3 linked regions of the Caenorhabditis elegans genome follow. The protein of the gene in region 3 purifies or fractionates together with the protein of the main gene of each other region. This does not show direct contact. Each region holds a gene or a part of one and is shown on either strand. Other genes may lie near its edges. The genes, in order: cpt-6, srw-137 and Y43F8B.3.

What was found.
Region 1: the proteins of Y43F8B.3 (region 3) and cpt-6 fractionate together in Caenorhabditis elegans (co-fractionation; one large-scale study listed by BioGRID). This does not show direct contact.
Region 2: the proteins of Y43F8B.3 (region 3) and srw-137 fractionate together in Caenorhabditis elegans (co-fractionation; one large-scale study listed by BioGRID). This does not show direct contact.

The regions. Positions count from the first base shown.
Region 1 is NC_003283.11:6,488,264-6,496,654, forward strand, and holds cpt-6 (Choline/carnitine acyltransferase domain-containing protein), read right to left. Parts: upstream 5,659-8,391; coding exon 5,566-5,658; intron 5,352-5,565; coding exon 5,061-5,351; intron 5,015-5,060; coding exon 4,592-5,014; intron 4,453-4,591; coding exon 4,259-4,452; intron 3,460-4,258; coding exon 2,943-3,459; intron 2,892-2,942; coding exon 2,592-2,891; intron 2,545-2,591; coding exon 2,356-2,544; intron 2,181-2,355; coding exon 1,947-2,180; 3' UTR 1,823-1,946; downstream 1-1,822. Other genes in the region: lec-10 (Galectin), read right to left, coding at 55-330, 379-660, 728-748.
Region 2 is NC_003283.11:2,941,431-2,947,244, forward strand, and holds srw-137 (G-protein coupled receptors family 1 profile domain-containing protein), read right to left. Parts: upstream 2,530-5,814; coding exon 2,441-2,529; intron 2,389-2,440; coding exon 1,797-2,388; intron 1,750-1,796; coding exon 1,526-1,749; intron 1,396-1,525; coding exon 1,254-1,395; intron 1,210-1,253; coding exon 1,141-1,209; downstream 1-1,140. Other genes in the region: srw-143 (G-protein coupled receptors family 1 profile domain-containing protein), read right to left, coding at 1-75; srh-87 (Serpentine Receptor, class H), read right to left, coding at 2,949-3,133, 3,183-3,695, 3,845-3,990, 4,041-4,252.
Region 3 is NC_003283.11:19,500,515-19,507,439, forward strand, and holds the start of Y43F8B.3 (BPTI/Kunitz inhibitor domain-containing protein), read left to right. Parts: upstream 1-2,597; coding exon 2,598-2,790; intron 2,791-3,239; coding exon 3,240-3,321; intron 3,322-3,483; coding exon 3,484-3,590; intron 3,591-4,325; coding exon of another isoform or gene 4,326-4,739; intron 4,740-5,380; coding exon 5,381-5,545; intron 5,546-5,856; coding exon 5,857-6,049; intron 6,050-6,771; coding exon 6,772-6,881; intron 6,882-6,925.

The sequences.
Region 1 (8,391 bases), about 13 Mb from region 3:
GACAATTAACGTCGAAAATTCCAAAAAATACATTAAAAAAATAAGATCCCCGATTTATCTGTATGGGTTGAAGTTTTGGACTGGTGGTGGTGGTGCTCCGTATGGCATAAAGTTTGGCTGAACAAACACTGGAGCAACATAGGTTTCAGTTCCATAGGCATTGTATCCAGAGTGTCCATGATCGACATGTCCGTCCCAACGACGTTGGAAGTGGAATCCTTCGAAGTGAACCTTGTCAACATGAACGTCTCCCTTCAATCCGATGGCTTGAACCGATTGGTATGGGTAACGATGTGGGTAGTCGGCGAGGTGATGACCGTTCACAGAGATCTGAAATTGAATACAGTTAACTATAAAATTAAATACGTTAAAACTTACATGGTAATATCCAGCGTGAACCTTGATGCTAAGGTGGAAGTGCTCCGAGTGGTGAAGTGGGTTTTTGTGACGGATTTCTGGTCCCCACATTCCACTGAACTGGGAGTTCATGACAACGACGTGTTCATGATGGAAACGGAAGTTGACATGAAGAACAACATTTGGTCCGCTCAAAAGCTCGACGGCAAAGTTCTTGTGATGTCCGTGACGAACATGTCCGTGAACAGAGATGGTGGATCCATCTTGAAGTGGCTCGAAGATCGAGAGAGCGGTTGGGACACCCTGAAATTTGGTTTATTGAAAACTTGAAGTTTCCAAACTGGAAAATTCTAGAAAATCAAAAACTCACGGGGTTGTGATAGGAGTGCATGTTAGTTGATAGTAAGACCGATTGAACCGATAGAGAAGTGAGGAAATGCCACGACTTTTATTCAAACTCTTATCGATATTTCTATGACATCAGGCGAGTTTTATTTGCTTAAAGACTAAGAATCAATGGGAGGTATCAGACACACTTCTACATTTGGGAAATCAATGGCAAATAAAGAACTGAATAAGACTAAAAGTTGGAATTCAATGAAAGAGGATGTAATTACTCAACTGATGGGGAAGAAAAATCAAATTCAATCGTTGCGTCTGATTAGGAATGAAATGTTTCTGTTAATAATTTGCAAGTAATCAGCTCGAAGCATAATTTTTTGTTGGTTTATTTTGTTTTTCAGCATGACGGAACATCATTTTGGAAATACAAAAAGTTTTAAATATCAAGTTTTGTCTAATAGAGGGTATAAAAATTGTATTTAGGTTACAGATCTAAATGATTTCTCACTATCATTACATCATTTTACAACATAATTCTACATACAAATGCCACGAATTTTAAAAAATTAGATGTTAAATAATGTTTTGAAAAGGTGTTCAGATTTCTGTAGTTATGAATATGAAAGGATTGTTGTCCTCGAAAATGTTTCGTTACGTTTGTTAATTTGGATTAGTTCATCTAGAAAAGGGTGCGAATTCAAGTCACATCAACAATTTGTCAGCTAAACAAATAGTCAAGTTTGCAAACTTTCCAGAACTGTTTCCATGATTTCAAAAACCTACCGAAAAGATTGGCAAAATTTCATATTTAATCTTAAGAGATTTAAGTTTCAATTTCATTCATTTTCAGATCTTTTTCCATCTTTTTTGGTGCACTATAAAAACCGTTTTTTGCAGTTTTTGTGCTAAAATCATCTTTCCATCGGCACACACAACGTGATGCTATCAAAAATGAAATTCTCGTACAATTGCCATTTTTGATCGGAAACTCTGTTTGACATTTCACCAGTTTTACATGAGTCATAGTCTGGTGTACACCAAGAATTGAGCATAGATCGTGAACTGGTCATGAGTCATTTCAGGTGATTTTTGAATGGGTCATACACGAGAGAATTTTTTATTTAATAAAAATTATTTTATTGACTGAGTGACAGTAATATATGAAACAGGTTAGAATGATAGTGCAGAATGAGTTCAAATTGGTACAAGTTATGGGTATAAAACCGTTTGTTACAAAATGGGATGGTTCAAACGAAAAGGTTTGAAAGTTCGTGGAACGATTCGGAGAGCAACTTTGCAAACTTTGTTGAATCAGTGTTGGCAGCGGAATGATAACTTGTGATGTTTGCAAAGATTCCGTGGTTTCCTCCAAAGCGATAGCAGATTCCGTAGCCATCAGCAGCGACTGCTCCGAAGCATGCTCCGAGCCAAGTGTTGTCTGAATCAGTGTCCTCGTCGCATTGATTAGTCACGTTTGGAACCTGGAATAGGATATGTTCAAATTGTAAAGTTAAAAAAAAAATAATTAGGAAAATCCAGAAAAAGCAATTGTTGAAAAATGTTTGAATTAAAATCCTTCAGCTCATTATTAGAAAGTTACGTGATACAACTGCCAAATACATAGCACTATGTCATCTTATTTTAATGATTACTCACATGTGAGGTAGATAGCTTCCACTTTTGATTAATATAATTGTCAAGGAAAGGACTCTGAATCCCCGTTCCTTGAGATAAAATATACAGAACAAAGAGATGACGATCGACTCCTTGCCCAACCATACACTTCTTGTTTCGAAGAACATGAGTTTCACAAGCTTTTTTCAAAAGAGCAATCTTGGCTTCTTTCTGAAATTTGAATTTTTCATCGTCTTAATAACTTCAAATTAACTTACCGTTTCATTTGCATTCAACATAGCTTCCACAAATTCACAAGAGTGATCGTTAACTGTTCTCAAAGTTTCGGTCCTCGAGTTTGCAAAGAATCGAGCTGATGCTGGTTCATATGTGAGCACAAATTTGCCTTGATCTCGATAGTTGGCAAGTTGAATAGCCATTTGAATGAATGCATCTGGTGAGACACCACACTTCTTGATACGTCCTTTTCCAAAATCACGGAATGCAAGGGCATACAGGTCAAGGTCATTCTTGGCGATTTGATGAGCATCGTAGCAGCGAGTGATCTCGGAGAGCATCTGAAAAATGATTATTTTGACCTGAAAGGTAAGGCAAAAAATGAAGCTTACCTCTTGATCTGGAACTTCAAAGTTCAATGGAGTAGCAAGCTTCAGAGATTTCTTATCATTCTCTTCAATAACTGCCATTTTCTCTTGCTCTTCAATTGATTTGTATTTCAAAACTTCCAAATCTACATATACAAAGTTTTCCATAATATGATCAAATTCTGCTCCATCCGCAATAGAATGCTCAGTTGTTCCACCGCATCGAGCATTTTTCGAACAAATATAATTAAGAGACTTATCAACCCATCGATTAGTTCCATCTCCAGAAAGACAATTGGCAAGGAAGTTGCTGAGAACTTCGGGTTTCTTCTCATCATATCCATAATCATCATTCTCATCGAGTGTGAAAAAGAATACAGCACACTCGATTTCCTTGAGGATTTGAGCATTTTTCACGTTTCCAAGGAAATACTTTTGACGGTTTCTGTGCCAAGAGTCCCTGGTATCGTGGGTCAATGCTGCGATTTTTCCAATAACCCCTTCCTCCTTCTCGTCTCGGGAAATCATTTCGTGGAAAATTCTAGAATTAATTATTTATATTGATTTTTAAAGCTTTACTTGGAATTTTTATTAAAATGTTTGGCAAGTTGCTGACATTAAATTTTGAAATTTTTAGCATGTTTTTTTGACGCTTATATGCATCTCAGTTCAAAGAAATTTAAAAATCAGTGCACATTTGAAACTCCATATTCACCATTATTCTCAGTTTAAAAAAAATTGAAAATCAGTGCACATTTGAAACTCCATATTTTCCAAAATTCTCAGTTTAAAAAAATTTGAAAATCAGTGCACATTTGAAATTCCATATTTTCCATAAAGATAACCAAATGCGTTTAAAATAAATTTTTGAAATTTCGTGTATATATAACGTGTTTAAAATTTAAATATGTAATTAACTCTGTATTTTTGGCTACCCCCATTTTTTGAAGTTTCAGTAGTTTTAGCGTTGCTCTAAAATAAATTGTTGCTGAGCTTATACTTTGGAATTTTTAAGAAAAAATGGTATTTAACAGTAAGATGTTCGCATTTTTCAGCATCTCTGAATGAGTTGTTTTTAACAAAAATATTTGAATTCAATTTCGAAGATGATATCGGCAGTTGCCAAAGTTAGCAAACGATAAAACTTTTAGCAACTTTTTTCTTCATAGCTTTTGATGAGCTTTTAGAAAATATGCCATTTGCTTTACAATTTCCATTACACCATATGCAATTTCCTGGTTAGAATATTTTTCCAACTTGCGTCTTGCGACTAATATAATAAACTCTGATGTTATAAAATATCAGTAGTGCAGATCCTTTTTCGATTAACTTTTACGTACTTCGTCAATTGTTCCACAGTGTAGATGTTGTTCTTATCATCAACCACGTGAATCTTATAGTATTTTCCACGCAACACCACTACAATGTGCTTCTGAATTCCGTGCAATATCAGCTGATCAATCTTCTTCCCTGGTTCTCGGGTTACTGCATACATATTTTTGTAATGTCTGGTGCAGACAAGTCCGTCGCCAAGCTGGAAACATTCATATTGATGATAAAATGTTATCAAAACAATTGTTTGGTTTTTTTCGGTGCAAGATTGCGACGTGTAACATTCACTGATAAGAAATAGGGCAAAATACAAACGATCAGGAATCACAAAAAAAACATACCGCCTTGTACTGTTGACGATCAATTGCAAGATGCGACATGACTTCAATCCAGGTTACTCGAGCTGCTCTGTGAGCTCGTGTTGCTTCTTTGTCTCGGAGCAAGTCACAATGAGCAACACTGCTATTAATCATAAGTGGGTATCTCCCATGAAGATATGCATACTTTTGCCAGAACGAGGTGACATAGTTGTCGGTGAACAAAGAGTAGATCCACGTGTATCTCTGAAGCTTCTTTCCCTCGTTTTCCAGAAACTCATGTGCTTGCTTGGCGACAATCTCGTACTCTTGTTCTGATAGAATATGTTTCATGGAGTCAAGGTATTCAGAAATAGTGTCTTTGAGAGCTGGTACCGGGAGACTCGGAAGAAGGCGATCACAAGATTCAAGGATTGGTGGGGAAATTGAGAGAATGTGTCGGACAATCTGAAATTTGAACAATAAATTCTGATGGTGTTACAAAATAACTTACACCCCAAATTTTCGTTTTCAAACATGGCTTCTTTGGGTTGTCAAACAAGAATCCTTTGTATGAGAAGTAGAAGTGCTTGAGAAGTTTTCGAAGTGTGAATACTCCTGCGTAGGATCCAATTGCCGCGACTGCAGTGGTTTTTGCAATTTCAGCAACTTCCGATCCGAACTTTGGAAGAAGATCAAGAATCGCATTTTCTGGGTATTTGTAGTGTAGGGTGGCCGCCAGAGCAACGGTTGTGGCAACGAATGGAATCGGTTTGATAGGCCAAAGTGTGTTCTCAATCCAATTCTGAAAATATAGATACTTCATGGTTGTTTGGTAACTTTGAAAAAGGTAATGTTTTAAAAAAAAATTGTTTTCTGTGTTTTGTTTCCTAAACTAGATCCAATTCGAAATTCCAAATTCTACCCACTTAACAACTAGTTTTTCTCTGACTTCCCACAACACGTAGAAAAGGTCAATTGAGGTAAATTAGCCAATTTTCTGATTTGATAAAACTTACGTAGGTCTTGTAGGATGCTTGTTCAATTGGCGATGGGAATTTTGTTGGAAAAGGATATGGTGAACGAACTGTTTTCTTTTTGTTGGACGACATCTGAAATTATGGTAAGGTTTTTGAAATTGAAGAGTTGAAATTGGCAGGATAGGTAATAAAGTTTAGAAGGCTGCAGACGAAAAAACAACAAATTTGATGAACGTGAGTGATGTTGTGGTGATAAAATTGGGGGATGAGAATCACAAAAAAAGAAAACTAATTAATCTACATTATCAATTTAACTTTGCCTTTTCTCCAGTCTCCGTCTACACTTATTGCTGACTTTTTAAAGGAGAAAGATCAAAATTGTATTCTGATCGTATTCTAGTTGACTTTCATTCTCATAATCTTATCGATAGGAAACAAAATATTTCGAGAGAATCATGTGCTGGAAACTCTTCAAAAAATGGCTGAGATAAGAGAACGATGGCTTTTGAAGCAAAAAGAGTAGAGTACAAAGTGGAGTAGAGTGAGCAGAGTCTGCTTCAAGCAAAAAATAAGATGAAAAACGAGAGTTTTGTTCCGTGTTGTTGAATGAGCGAAAAAAAAGCCTGAGCACAACAAATATAGGGTTTCTAAATCCCATCAGAAAATGGAGAGATGTAGAGTGAGAAGGAAATACGGCATATTTTATGAATAGAATTTATTTTCTGTCAACCAAAATTTGGAGAAAAACCTGCAAATAAAGCATTGCGGAAAAATAATTTTTTAGAAAAAACCCGTCATATATTCTTCAATATGTTTTTTATTTGGAAGATTTGAAAAAAGATTTCAGTTTCAAAATTTTTGAAAGGCTTTCTGAAAAATTTTGTAACACAGAACAAATATTATTCCGGAAAAATCAAAAATTCTAGTTAAACAATATGCATTTCTAAAAAAAATTTTACTTTCAATGCTTTATAAAAAACAAAAACAAACTGAAAACAAAAAAGTAGAACACGTATCTGGAAAAGAGGAAAAAGGCAATATTGAACACCATATGGTGTGCACAATTCTAGTCGATAAAAGGAACAATGGGACAAAATCTAGATAGAAGGCCGATCAATATCTAGATTTAAAGGGGTCGTAACTAGATTGTAGTCAGACCTGTGAGGTTTGGTGCAGGTGGTTTGAAAGAATATGGTGCAATTTATCTACTAAAAATAATATATTTTCATTTTGGAAATAAATTTCAGAAGTAAAATAATAAGTTGGGATATCAAGAGTTTTTGATAATTTTAAAAGAATTGGGAGTACTGTTTAAAACCAGTGCTAAAATTACCTACTATAAAAAAAAGTTCAAACATGCCGCATTGCTCCAAATTCCTCAAAAAAACCTGTTTTAAATTTGGTAAAATTGGCTATTTACCAAAATTTTTCCTGAAAAATCTGAAAAATCCAAGAATTTTCGGTAGTTTTAAAATGATATTCGATTATTTCAGATTATCGTACGAGTATATAGATGATATTCCCTGGTGCAACTCTAGATTTAAGTTTGAAAGATCTCCCAGCCCTATCAATTGTGTCACCTGGAAATCGAGCAAGCTACAAAAGAACCCGCCAAAATTCAAATGAAAGTTCAGCTTAAAAACGCACTGGAAAATTATAAAAGTACAATAACCGCCGGTCAAAATGTCGACGAAAAATATGTCCGATAACAGTTTGATGTAGAGTAAGGAAACACACAAGCAGGGCGAAATGATAGAGAGGGAAAGTTTGTCTGGTTGACCTACTATCGGAGAATCTTCACTGCAGGCGGTTATGAGAAAATTCGTGGATGCAAACACAGCTGGTCGAAATGGGAAAGCTTTAGGGTGCTACGATGTAGCCTAGGATTAAAAAAAAAGTTTTTATCAGATGGGAAATATTTTAAACTGCGGGTAGAATCCCTTCATACTGTAGCTTAAAATAATTTTAAAAAAGTAATCAAATATGTTTCTTGGAATTGTTTCCTGCACGACGGTATGTAAAATAAAATATTTATTTCATCAGAATATCTTTTTTACCTTACAGAAAGAGCTTTCCACAACATTTCTGATAATGGAAAGTGCACAAACTTTAAAAAATTAGTAGATCATAAACTCAAGCTTTTCCCGAATAATTCCAAATAAGACACAATACTGGGGCTGCACTTGTAAACAATTTTCAGAGGGCTGTTTTGTGAAAAACCAGATTACCGTATTACCTGGACTAATAAAAGTTAGAATTTTTTTCATATCCTACGAACAAAAATCTCAATTATTTAAATTAAAACTTAAAAAAGGTAGTCCTAAGAATATCAGCTACCCGGGAATCAACATGAGATACTGTAATTTGTTCCCAGCACGGCGAAACTTTTGATATGACGAAAATTCTCACTTTTAGACGTCATCGTAATAACAGTTTGCACAACTAAAGTTTGTCCCTGGTTCTTGACTACCAAGGAATTTAATTTTTACCAAAGTTTCAGTAATCTTGAGCAATTTTTAAATCTTTAATTAGTTCAGTTTGTATTGCTGTCCTGCTTTAAAAACATTTGTTACCAGTTCAAACTGTTTTTTCCAGATTCCACAATGTTCTTAACCCATGCTTCTTCAGATGGTACAGGTACAAACATAAGTACAATACTGGATACTCTCCACTCCTCAGACATCATCATACTTCTCATCACATGCAGGAAAAAACAATTCGATGATGAGACAAGAGTACTCGTGAGTCATGAACAAAACACTTAAAAACACCTCTAACCAAAATCTTTTTGAAGACGTTCATTTTAGAAACACTTATTTCATTTTTGGTGAAAATTCACGTCGATGCGATAGAATATTTTACTTG
Region 2 (5,814 bases), about 17 Mb from region 3:
AAATTGGCATAGAAAAATTGCTGTGGCGTTATCATATCCTGGATAGTTTCTTTGGTAGGCATTGCATGTCGACATTTTGTTTCTGTTAGGGTTGCAATCCAAAAATCCAATTTTTGTTTAAAAGGTGGTGTAGTCGAATTTTTTTATTGCTTTATTAGACTCTGAAACGACCGAATTTCATAATGAAATTTCTTGAAAACTTCTCAAAAAAAAGTTATGACGGCTCAAAAAATAGCTTAAAACTGGTTAAAGTTTGAAATTTGACTTGTCAGCAGCTTGAAGCTGACTGTTTTGAAATCACCGTATATCACCAAAATTGGGTATACTAGTTAAATATCTTGAGTTTTCAACTCGATTAAGGCTTTTTAAAGTTGATGGACGGGAGATTTGATTTAAAAAAATGAAAAATTAACACTACATACTCAAAATTAGACTGTGATTTCAAAAAAGTTTTTAGTCTCCAGGTGCTGCAACATTGACAAGTCAGTCAAATTTCAAATTTTAACTAATTTTAGGTATTTTTTTGAGCCGTCATAGCTTTTTTTTTTGAGAAGTTTTCAGGAAGTTTCATTATGAAATTCGGTGTTTTCAGACAATTTTGAGTCTAATAAAACAACAAAAAAATTTGACTACACCACATTTAATGCCGGATGTAAGCCGTCCGGTTTTTTTAATTTCTCAGAGTGTAGTGGGGATAGTTGAAATTTTGTTTTTGTGAGTCAGGAATGCACAGTTAAATTAAATATTTTCACCAATTTAGTTGAAAATCAGAAATTTTTGGCCCAAGCTTTTGGAATAATTTGAAAGTTTTTGAATATACCTATGTATGTGAAACGGGTTTTCTCTGATATTTTGAACAAAGCGCGGAGCTGATAAAAACACAAGACAATGTTTTTCGTCGTGTTATTATGAATCAAAAGAAAAAATTCGAGAAAAATTAATTAGCTTCAAGAAAAAAAAACATAGATGTGTTAGAAATCTCTTTGATTCATCTCTAACCAGCTAGATCAAAACAAGATGTTCTACCGATAGTGAAAAAAATATTTATTCTTAAAACACTTGAATGAAAAGCTATACAAATCATAGTAAATTAACATACAATTGTAGCAATTTCCACTCGTCCTCGGCATTTTGTCAACCTCACTTTTTAAAAACTTGTCGCCTTGCAGAACTAGTGTGAGTGACTTGAATCACAGTTGCTTTGTTTTTCTAAATCTACAAAATGTTGCATCAAGCCTGAAACATACCCGAACCTGAGTCAAATATCCACAGGACACTACTTGCTTTGCAGCAATCCGATATTGAGATGACATGAAGAAGCAAACTATGCAGTGGGTAGCTGTATTTGCAGACAGGAGCAAGGAAAAATTGTAGTAGAAGTAACTCATTATTGATCTAAATCATAAAACAACCCGGTTAAAATTTAATAAAAGATATTTATCGCGCGGCCGACATTTCGCTGGTTGCATCAAAAACGGAGTTCCTCGATGCCTTAGTGGCGTCACTCAGGCAATGATCAACTCACTTCATTCCAGGAACATCGAGAAAAAACCAAGTTGCACCCAATGTTATTCCAAGCGGAAATTCGGCGATAAAAAACGTAATAGATATGTAGAATACCAGTCTAGTAGTTTTTCTAGAGTCATTTACATTTGCAGTGGAAGAAAGATTTTTTCGCTTTTTATCCGATTTCCAGAGCTCGACGACCAATAGGAAAGTTACTATCGGGAAGAGCACGCAGGGAATTATCTGGAATTTAGAAAACCCTGTAGTTAGGCCTAACGAAAAGAAATTACATTTGAAACGAGCCCGTTAACAATTGAAAATATTTTCAAATAATACCCATCATTATCCGCAAACATATCAGATATAACTGTGTAGTAAGTTGTTTCAGTTGAATTACAAAATGATGGCACAGAACTTTTCATTAGTTCATATTCCAGAGAAAAGACCACTGAAATCGGAAGACTCAAAAATAATATTCCGAGAATTGCAAAACCAGAGAGGGCAGGACCGGCTAATTTCTGGTAGCTTTGGTTCAGAGGATTTCTGATGACTAGTGTTCGAATAAGCGCGATGAGAAAGCAAAGCCACGTTGAACACCGCCGGGAATAGTCTTGGAGGACTTGAAACGAAGTTTCGATTATTACAAAAGTATATGTTTCACTTTGAAAACAATCGTAATAATCTCGGAGAAATCGCTCGACGATTTTCTTGAGTTCTGAAAAAAATGTGCAAATGTCTAAAATAGCCACTGCAGTCATAATGATATTTATGGAGGAGTTTCTCATAGATTTTCTTGTCAGAATTGCAGAATGTAAAATGTTTACCAAAATACAAGTAATTGAAATGATAGACTCATATGACAGAACTTTCTCTGTGAAAACTCTGAAACTCTCTGATCTTGAAATACCTTTCTTTTGATTTATATGACACTTACGCCAGATATCTTTCGATTCGGTATAGCCGACGAGCAGTAGAATGCTCAAAGCCCGGAAAATCAATTTGAAGATATTTGTCACTAATCATTGTTGTAAAACTAAAAACTTTTTGATATCAAAAGGAATGGAAAAACAGAAAGCCTCCAGAAATTTAATTTTTTTTTTTGATTTATTGCGGAAGGAATTGAAGAACGAATATTTTACTCAAAAGCTGGAACTAAAAAAAGGGAATTGTCTCAGAAAAATATATTATTAAATCGAAGACGGAAGCTGCAGAAATGATAATTATCCCTTAATTTTCAGGCTACGTTCAGACATCACTTTGAAGCATGGCCGGGTGGCAATTGCTCCAGCAATGGCCAAAGTTGTCAAAAATTTCCGATTTCAGCACATCCCTGTTGTGATATTTGAGCATTCTACTGCTCTTCGGCTTTGTTGATTTGTAGGAAAAAAGGTAAGGTTTGTAAAAAAACATAGTTTATTAAAAAAACTCCTTTTATGAAAAAATTATTTGATAACAATTTGAGTAATTACCACAGAATCTATATCGATATTTTTCAAGGGTTGTTTTGGTTTAGATTTCCAGAAATATGACAAAACGAACTGCCGATAAGGATGATGTATAATGAGTACAGCGACTGTAGATATTAAGCCATGAATTGAAGCATGAAGAATTGACAAATTGGTTAATGCTGGAAAATTGGTTTTTTGTTTAAATTTACCCACAAATTTATTCCGAACCTTGATTATAATAATTAAAATCAACAGCAAACCAAATATAAAAAGCGGTCGGTAACATGAACAAAACAGGAATTGAAATTTGTAGAAGTATGCTTGCCAAAAATTTAATTTGCAACTTTCTCGTGGTCTTTGAAGTAAACGAACGAATCGAGAAAAACAAATAGTAGACACAACATGTCAAGTAAAACAAAATTTGAATCACTTCTACCACAACTCCTAATACTGTGAAGGCAATTAAAAAATGAATATGATAATCATCGATGCACAATACAAAAATATTGGAAGCCGTGAAAAAGTCTTGAGAAGGACATGGAAGCCGTCTGAGAACTTTAAAGAGTGCTTCTTCCTGGTTTGCTGGTATGAAAAATGTGAATGATGCTGCGTAAAATACTCCAATCAGTAGTTTTGTTAGATAGTAAATAGTTTTCGTACTTTTCCGAGTTATTTTGAACTTGTTGAATGGAATTGCGTTATTCCGATTTTCTACCAATATTGTTGTAGATAATAACATGACTGAAACAATTTTTTGATTTTGTGAAATTGATTGCGCGCTGTGTGGTCTGACGCGATCTCGCTCAATGTCGGCTGCGGATTTTTAAAATGTATCTGATGGGAACTGTTCCAGCTTCCAGATTGCTACACTTCCGGATACCTAAACTTACAATTCAGACTCTGAAATGCCAGCCAAGCCTGAATTTTCGGTGGGACACCCAAAAAGTTCAACAAGCCAACTGAAAATCCCGTGAGAGTTGGAAGAAATATATATGGTGTCCCGAGGCAATTCAAAAACACATCCGCCAGACACGTCCTGAATATTTCTACATGTGCACAGTCAATGTTTGTGATGTGTATACTTACCAAACATGGAAATTGAAAAGCGGAATTCGATAGGTTGACATTTCCTTTGGGCTTTTGTATAGGATACAGTAACCTCCAAAAAGATAAACTGGAAGTGAAAATGCAGTCAAAAAATGGGAAGTGTAAGAAAAGTCTTGCCAAGAGCACAAAAACGTATCGCATCTTGGACATGTTGTATAGTTTGTTAAGTAATACTCACGGAGACTAGACATGCTCACACGATTTTCACAAAAAAAAACTGTGAAGTGAATAAACCCAGTTTTTTGGTCGATATGACAGTTGTTTTCTATAAACAAAAAATGACAAAAGTTTTCTGAGAACAGGATGACTCAGTTGGTTATCTCAACAAAAATAAAGACAACTAAGAACCTAGTGGAGTAAATGAGGAAGCACGGTCATTGTGAAACATCAAATACCCTCTGTTTCCAACCTACAAAAGCAATATACTCATATTTTCATAATTACTTCAATTTATTTTCATAATTACTCCAAAAACGAGGAAAAGGAAAAATGTTTTACAAGCTGTAAGTTTTGAAGTGAAATTGCCGAATACGTAATACTTCAGAATACGTTCGCCAAATTCGATAGAAACACAAATCCAGAATCAATAACATAACAGTTATACAAAAAAAATCTACCGCGTGTTAATCGTAAAAAAAAACGGTAGGGATTCCATGGGAGGCAGGCGCGGTAGGGCCTCAAGCCTGCTGCCGACCTGCCCGCAGGCCTCTCGCCTCATTTCTGTACCACATAGTGTGTAAGGTGGTTTTATCTCCGCGGCCGACACTTTTCAGGTTCCGCGCCGCACTACATGCAGGCGGCGCGAGGCAGGCGGAGGTAGCCGCAAGGCGGGCGCGGCTGGCATTTTGGCTCGGTTCGTGTCCAGTGGTGCAAATAGCCGACCCGATGTTTTCAAAAGTTGAATTTAATATATCGCGTTGGAACAGTATACATATATTAAAATTGACAATTTTTTTTCAATTTTTATACTTGATTTTTTTTTAAATTTTGGTTATGTATTCAATAATTTTTTAGAAATTCAATAGGTATTCAATTGGCTCCAAATATCCAATAATTTTTCAAGTAGCACTTCTTGATTTCTAATTATTTCCGTAGCACATTACTACTACTGCATCCTGTGAAAATTACCTGAACGCCTCATTTGTTGGGTTTTGTTTTTGAGTCAGTGTTTTTGAGCCCAGAGAAATTAAATTTTTGTTAAACTTAATTTTGTAAATCTGATCTAGTCTATCTCTGATTTTTACCGCGCTAGATTAATTCAATAAAATTGCAATACTCACATTTCCTGTATCTCGACGGAAGGTGGAATTTAGTTCTAGGCGTGTTCTGGTTGCTTGATCACCTCTCACTGTCAGTAAAATATACAAAATCGTCAGCGCTTTTTTGGTGCAACTTTTTATTTAATTTGGAGTATGTGTTCAAAATTACAAATATACCTTTTGAAAATATAGTTTTAAAAGTGACCAAATTTTACCAAATCTGGTAATCATCAACCTTAAATGTACCTAAATCGATTAAAAAACGCAAGATAATTAATTTGAACGCCCTTAATTAGAGTTTCCAACCGCTGCGACATTGGCAAGTCGGTCAAAATTCAAATTCTGACTAATGTTATGTCATTTTTGAGCCGCCATAATTTTTTTGAGAAGATTTCAAGAAGTTTCATCATGAAATTCGGCGTTTACCAACAATTTTGAGTCTAATAAAGCGATACAACAATTTCGACTGCACCACCTTTTCACGTTTAGCCATA
Region 3 (6,925 bases):
TAATTATGAGAATTTCTGGTGTGTTCAGAAAATTTCCGAAAATTACAGAAAGAATATACAAAAAAAATTTTTTTTTGAATTTTTTGAAATATCCTGGAATTTTTTGAAATTTTCTGTAGATCTCATAAATTTTAAGAAATTTTTAAAAATTACAAAAAAGTAATTCCCAAAGTATCCGAAATGAAATTTTCAAAAAATTCTGGAAGTTTTTTAAAATAATAGGTGAATCCAGTGAAATTCAGTTTAAAAGTTTTGAAATTTTTCAAAAATGTACAGGAAAATTCTAGCAAATTCAGCATTTTCTGAATTTATGTACTTGAATTTTTATGGAAATTTCTGAATTTTCCTGAAAATGTTAGAAAAAAACTTAAGACTACAACAAATTTCTAAAAAAAATCTGTGAAAATTCAAAAAAAAAATTCCATAAACTTTCATGAAACTTTCAGAAATTTTTGGGAATATTTTCTAATTTCATGAAAACCGAGCAAGGTTCATAAGTTTATGGAAAATTTCAAAATATTCAAGGTTTTATAAAGTTTCATGAATTTTTCAGAAAAATCTGAGAAATTTCAAGAAATTCTGAAATAAAAAAATTGAAATTTTCAGGTTTTCTGAAAAAATTCAGAAAATTTAATGGAAAAAAAACGAGCAATTCAAAAAAAATTCACGATTTTTGAATTTTCTGGAATAAAAAAAAATAAAAAAAATTTGCAAAAATTATATTCGAAAAAATCGAATTTTTAAATTTTTGAAATTTTCTGAAGGTTTTTTTTTTGAGTTTGAAAAAATTCAAAAATTAAAACAAAAAATTCCTAAAAAATATCCGTATTTCCTTGACTTTCTGTAATATTCTGGAATTTTTTCTCCGCATTTCTCTGAATTGCCACTAAAACACATTTCCATAGACAATGCACATTCCGACCCCAAAAACAGTATCGAATTTCAGGCCCGCGCCCTAATTAGTTGGCAAGTTTGTTTTGTGTGAATCAGGTCAAACAAAATAATCAAATTTCAATGAGCATCCTGTTTTTTTTTCGAAAACAATTGATTTTTAATTTAGCTCCCATCAACTCTAACCCAATACTTTTTGCTCTTTTTTTCTCCCCCAACCACACACGCGTCGCGTCAAGGAGTTGCACTCATCACTCCAATTTTTTTTGTTCCGCGCGGAAGCTTTTCCCCCCTACGTGACGTATCTCCCGTAGAGACCCCTCAACTAGTCAGGCAGCAGGGGCGTATGTGCTCCGAAGCCGGGAGCACATACCAACTCTCGCGCCTTTATCATTTCATGCCATCTTTTCAAACAATTGCACCATGTGCTTTCAATTGTTTCTTTCTAGGTTTTGGATCAAGTTTTACCGAAATTTTTCATATTCCTGTCCGAAATATATTTTTAAGCTTAAGACTAAGCCTTAGGCTTATCTTTGGCCTGAGCCTACTTTTCACCAGAATTTGCAATTGTGACCTTTAAGCCTATATGGCCTATTTCTCTAATACTAGGCTTAGTCCTAAGTCTAAGCCCAGTCAATGACTCTGACCCAATAGCTAGCTCAGCTAAGCTGAGACTGAATTTAAGCCAAACAACTCTTCAATTTAGCCCCAGGTCCCGAGCCTTTAAGCCTTTAACCGTAGGCACTGAGTCTCAGGCCCTTAGCCCCAGGAGGAAATCCCCCAGTTTCAAGCCCTTAGCCTGAAATCAGGCCTAAGTCCAAGCTTGATGAAAAGCTTAAGCCTAAACCCCCTCCCACAAAAGTTCAAATTTCACTCCCACCACCTCCAAAAAAACCATCCCAGACATTGCGAAAAATCAAGTTTTGCCTAGATTTTCCCGTCCTCCTCCCCCCAAAATCTAATACCTCTCGTCAATAAACAATTGCGTGTCTTGTCAAGTGGTTCAGGGCTCATCGAGCCCCCCACCCAAGTGACTCATCAAGGGTGTGTACTGCCTAATGTTCTCCTACTCTAATATCATTTTATCAGTTGTACAAATGGTTTTCGGCTCGTTTCTTAGTTTTAGGCTCTTGGGCCAAAGTTTTCGGGCTTAGGCTTAGGCTTAGGCTTATGGTTAAGGTTAGGCTTAGGCTTAAGTTTTGGCTTGGGCATTAGGCTTGGGTTTAGGCTTAGGCTTGGTCATTAGGCTTAGGCTTAGGCTTGGTCAGTAGGCTTAGGCTTAGGCTTAGGCTTATAGTTAAGGTTAGGCTTAGGCTTAAGTTTTGGCTTGGGCATTAGGCTTGGGCATTAGGCTTAGGCTTGGTCATTAGGCTTAGGCTTAGGCTTGGTCATTAGGCTTAGGCTTAGGCTTGGTCATTAGGCTTAGGCTTAGGCTTAGGCTTAGGCTTATGCTTAGGCTAAGGTTTAGGCTTAGAATTGGGTATTAGGCTTAGGCTTAGGCGTAGGCTTAGGCTTAGGCATAGGCCTAGGTTTAGGCTCAATTTTGGAGACATTTTTTTTCGGTTCACCAAGTCAGCTTTTTTACACTTTTTTGTTAATTTCTTGAACTTTTTTTTTTCAAAAAGTCAGTTTTTTTCCAATTTCTCTCAAATTTATATGGAATTTTTTTTTAATACTTTACCTCAATTTTTTTTTGTTGCAGGACGATGCCTCCACTCAGGTGGCTCTTTTTAGTACTATGCGCCGTGGTGGCAGTTCGAGCAGCCGATGACAGCCTCATCGGCTCTTTTAAGACAATGTTCTTCGGTAATGAACCTGAGAAGACCAACGACTCCGCCACTTCATCACAAAATAATCCTCCGATCAGTTATCACCAGTATGCGACTGCTTCATCACCATGTAAGTGGTTTTGTAGATTCAGGATTGTTACAATTTTGGGTCCTGGCACGATAGGTACTGTAGGTGTTCGAAAATTTCTAAAGTTTTCGGATTCTGCGGAGCTTGGTTGATAGGGGTAAAATTCAGAAGCTCAAAATTTTTTTGACAATTTTTTTGAACATTTTTTTAAATTAAAATTTTATTAATTTCTCAGTCTTTATACATTTTACTTCTAGTTTATTTAATAATCTGACACACAAACGCTTCAAAGTAACGTCCATAATGCCTAGGTTCCGCCGATTTTGATATTTTGGGTCCCGCCACGCCGGGTACTGTATCTCCAGCTAAAATTGTTTGAAATTTCAAAATTAACGGAAACTACTCGATATGGGTGTCATTTTTAAGGTATTAGCACGAGAATATTGATTTTCATAATAAAAATTTAGTAAAATGTCTAGTTTTTTTTTCAGCCAGCCGCTCACAACCTCCATCTGGACAATCTTGTACCCTGCCACGTCAGATTGGAACTGGACCCTACAGAATTCCAAGATGGTAATGTGTTGTTTTTTTTCAATTTTTGAAAAAAGAGAAAATTTGGGATATTCAAAAAAAAAAAAAATTTTTTCAAATTTTTCAATTTTTTTTGTTGAAAATCTCTAAACTTTTCCAATTTTTGAAAATCAATAACTAACCCAATTTTTCACCTAATTTCAGGTACTATAACCCAGTCCGCGGACGTTGTGAGCTGTTCTATTGGTCCGGTTGCTGTGGAAACGGAAACAATTTCCAGACGTTCCAGACGTGCCAATCGACCTGCGAAGGTGAGCATTTTTCGGGTTTAGATGTCAATTTCACTTTGCAGAATGTAGAAAAAATAATTATGCCCTAGTGGGGATTGAACCTAAGACCTTCTGTTTACAGGCAAATTCCCACTGCGCCACATGGCTCATTTTTTCTCAAAATCCCCAAAAATGTCTTGAAAAAATTGTGCAAAACTTCAGTTTTTTGTACTGTACCCCAAAATCCAATTTTTTTTTGTTACATTTTCTAGCAAATCACACAAAACAAAAAATGTTTACCCAAGTTGGGGGTCGAACCCTGGTCTTGTGGGCCCAAGGAAATTCCCACTGCGCCATTCGGACCAAAACATTTTTATCGATTTTTCGTAACTTTTTGTTTAAAAACTAGTGCTAACTAAATTTATCGAACAAAATTCACGTAAAATTTAACTTGATCGCCGAGCAATTTTCGGTAAACTCGGTAAACTCGGTAAAGTTTTCAGTTTTCATCAAATTTCTCAGAAAAAATTGAGAATTTTTTTGGTTCCACATAAACTACAATCTTTATAAACTGTTTTTCTAGCAAATAACACAAAACAAAAATATTCGACCCTAGCGTGGGGTCGAACCCTGGACGTGAGAGCGCAAGGAAGTTTAAGGAATATCCCACTGCGCCATTCGGACGAATTTTTTTTCGTGGTTTTTAGCGTAAAAACTTGTTTATTATAGGATTTTGAATGTAAAAAAAAATTAAACTGTATAAAAAAAGTGTTCTAGCATCCTCGCAAACAACTTCTCAAACTTCTTCTCAAATAGTCTTCTCGACACCTCAACTCTCTGTATTCCAACCAACTTCCACACAAATCGACGTACTTTTTCAACCGAATCCTCTCAATCATTACCTCTCCATGCCGCCCGTCCTCTGTTCGTGCTGTTTCCGACCGTACTCCGAGGGTTACGGTAGCTCGAATCTCCTCCGATTCTACTACGACGCTCCGGCGAAACAGTGTCGACAGTTTATTTATAAGGGACTGGGTGGCTATGGTAATCAGTTTGAGTCGGAGTTCAAGTGCCGAAATTCGTGTGGAGTTAGTGGGCTCGCCGAGCCACAAACACTGGCCACGCCCCCACCGACGATGATGGTGACGTCATCAACTTCTCAACTTCCTCCTGTCGTCTATCTTTCAACAGGTTCTTAGCAGTGTTGTTTTTGGTCGCTTTGAGCTTTTTATTGCTTTTTATTCTTACCTGAAATTTTTTTGTTGTGTGCTGTGAAAATTTTGAAACATTTTACAAAAAAAAATTTGGAAAAAATTTTTTTAAGTCACATTTTTTCTCAGAATATTATTAAATTGCTAAAAAATTCAAATCTATTGCCTGTTTGCTTCTGAAAAAAGTTATTTCAGTAAATTACACAAAATAAAAAATTTTGACCGCAGCGGGGAGTCGAACCCCGGTCTCGTGGGTGCAAGGAAAATCGCACTGCGCCATTCAAACAAATTAATTTTTTAGATTTTTTAGTGTTCTTTACACACATTTGTGCTCAAAAGTAGTTTTCCTAGTACAAAACAGAAAATAAAAATATTTTGACCCCACTGGGAGTCGAACCTTGGTCTTGTGGGGTCAAGGAAAATCCCACTGCGCCATTCAAACATTTTTGCCAAAAATCGATATTTTCAGATTTTTCAAACAAATTCTGATCAAGATGTGTGTGTTGTTGTGTTTTCCACATATTCAACAGCTTATTCCTCGTGTAAAATCCCCCCCCCCCCCCCCCCCCCATCAACTTAAAACTCACTCGCCCCCTCAAATCAGTGTGTGCTCATTTTCAGTCGATCCGTGCTCTCAGGACAAGGAACCGGGCGTGGGCGCCGTCCAACTGCCCCGCTTCTTTTTCAACAAGGATTCCCGGATTTGCGAGCAATTCCAGTATTTTGGCACCGGCGGGAATCGCAATAACTTCCAGACGCTTGAAGAGTGTCAAGCACAGTGTCCAGGTTGTGTAACTGCACCCCCTACTAATTAATCATGCATGAATATTTACGAAAAATCAATAATTAACATTTTTTGGTTAAAAAATTTTTGGAAGAAAAAAAAAATGTTTCGAATTTTTTTTTTCAAATTTTAATCTTTTCCTTTCTATTTGCTTTCTTATATCTATATTTTTTGGTATTTCATATAGCCTAGTTCCCGGTGTCGGTTATCACAACATTATTACAAAACTTTACCTCTATGGCATGTGCAAAGGGTAGCTGGTGGTGCAAAAATCCAATAATTCCCAATCCCCCAAAAATCAATAAATTTCCAGAAAGCCCGAATCCATGTGCCGTTACCGGTGGTGCAACACTATCTCCGTGTGCTCCGGGTCAGGGATGTGGTACTGGAAGCTATTGCCACGTCGGAGCCCAGACACAGACCACCGTGTGCTGCCCCAAGCCGGCGGCCGTCGATCGATGCCAACAACCGTTGAATGTTGGAATTGGTAACTCGAATTTGCAGAGGTAATGAATTTTAGGGAAAAAAGTTTTAAAAAAAGTTTGACCACAGCGGGAGTCGAACCCCGGTCTTGTGGGCGCAAGGAAATTTAAGGGATACCCCACTGCGCCATTCGGACAAATGTATTTGTTCTGGCGGTTTTGATCAATTTTCATTACCAATGTTGTTTAAACTCACTTTACAGCACAAAAAGTTAGCACAAAAATTTCACTTCCAGGAAAATTGATTTTCCTATTTTTTAAAATTTTCTTTAAAAAAATCTTTTTTTTTTAAATTTATTCACACATTTTTTGTCTAAAAACTTTTTTTCTTTCCAAATCACAAAACAAAAAAAAAATTGACCACAGCGGGGGCCGAACCCCGGTCGTATTGGCGCAAGGAAAATCAAGGAAAAACCCACTGCGCCATTCGTCCCAAAATTTCAAAATTTTCTTTTTTTTTTATTTTCAAGATTGTCATAGTGGCTTCAACTAAATTTTCAAGTAAAGTAACAAAAACAAAAAAAATGTTGGCCACAGCGGGGGTCGAACCCCGGTATTGTGGGTGCAAGGAAAATCAAGAAAATCACACTGCGCCATTCGGACATTTCTCCTAAAAATCTGAAAACTCTTGAATTTTCTGATTTTTTTTTCAATTTTAAGATTTTCCTACCCATATTAATGTGTAAACCAAAAAGAGCTCTCCGAGCTCGCCGAGCAATTTTCCACGTCAAATTCAAATTTTTCAGATGGTACTTCAACCCGCTTACCCAACAATGCTCAACATGCACTTATCGTGGACTCCAAGGAAATGAGAACAACTTTTTGTCTCAAAATGAATGCGAGCAGTCTTGTTTGGGCGAGTTTCGAAAAAATGATTGAAAAAAATGATTTTTTTTTGGA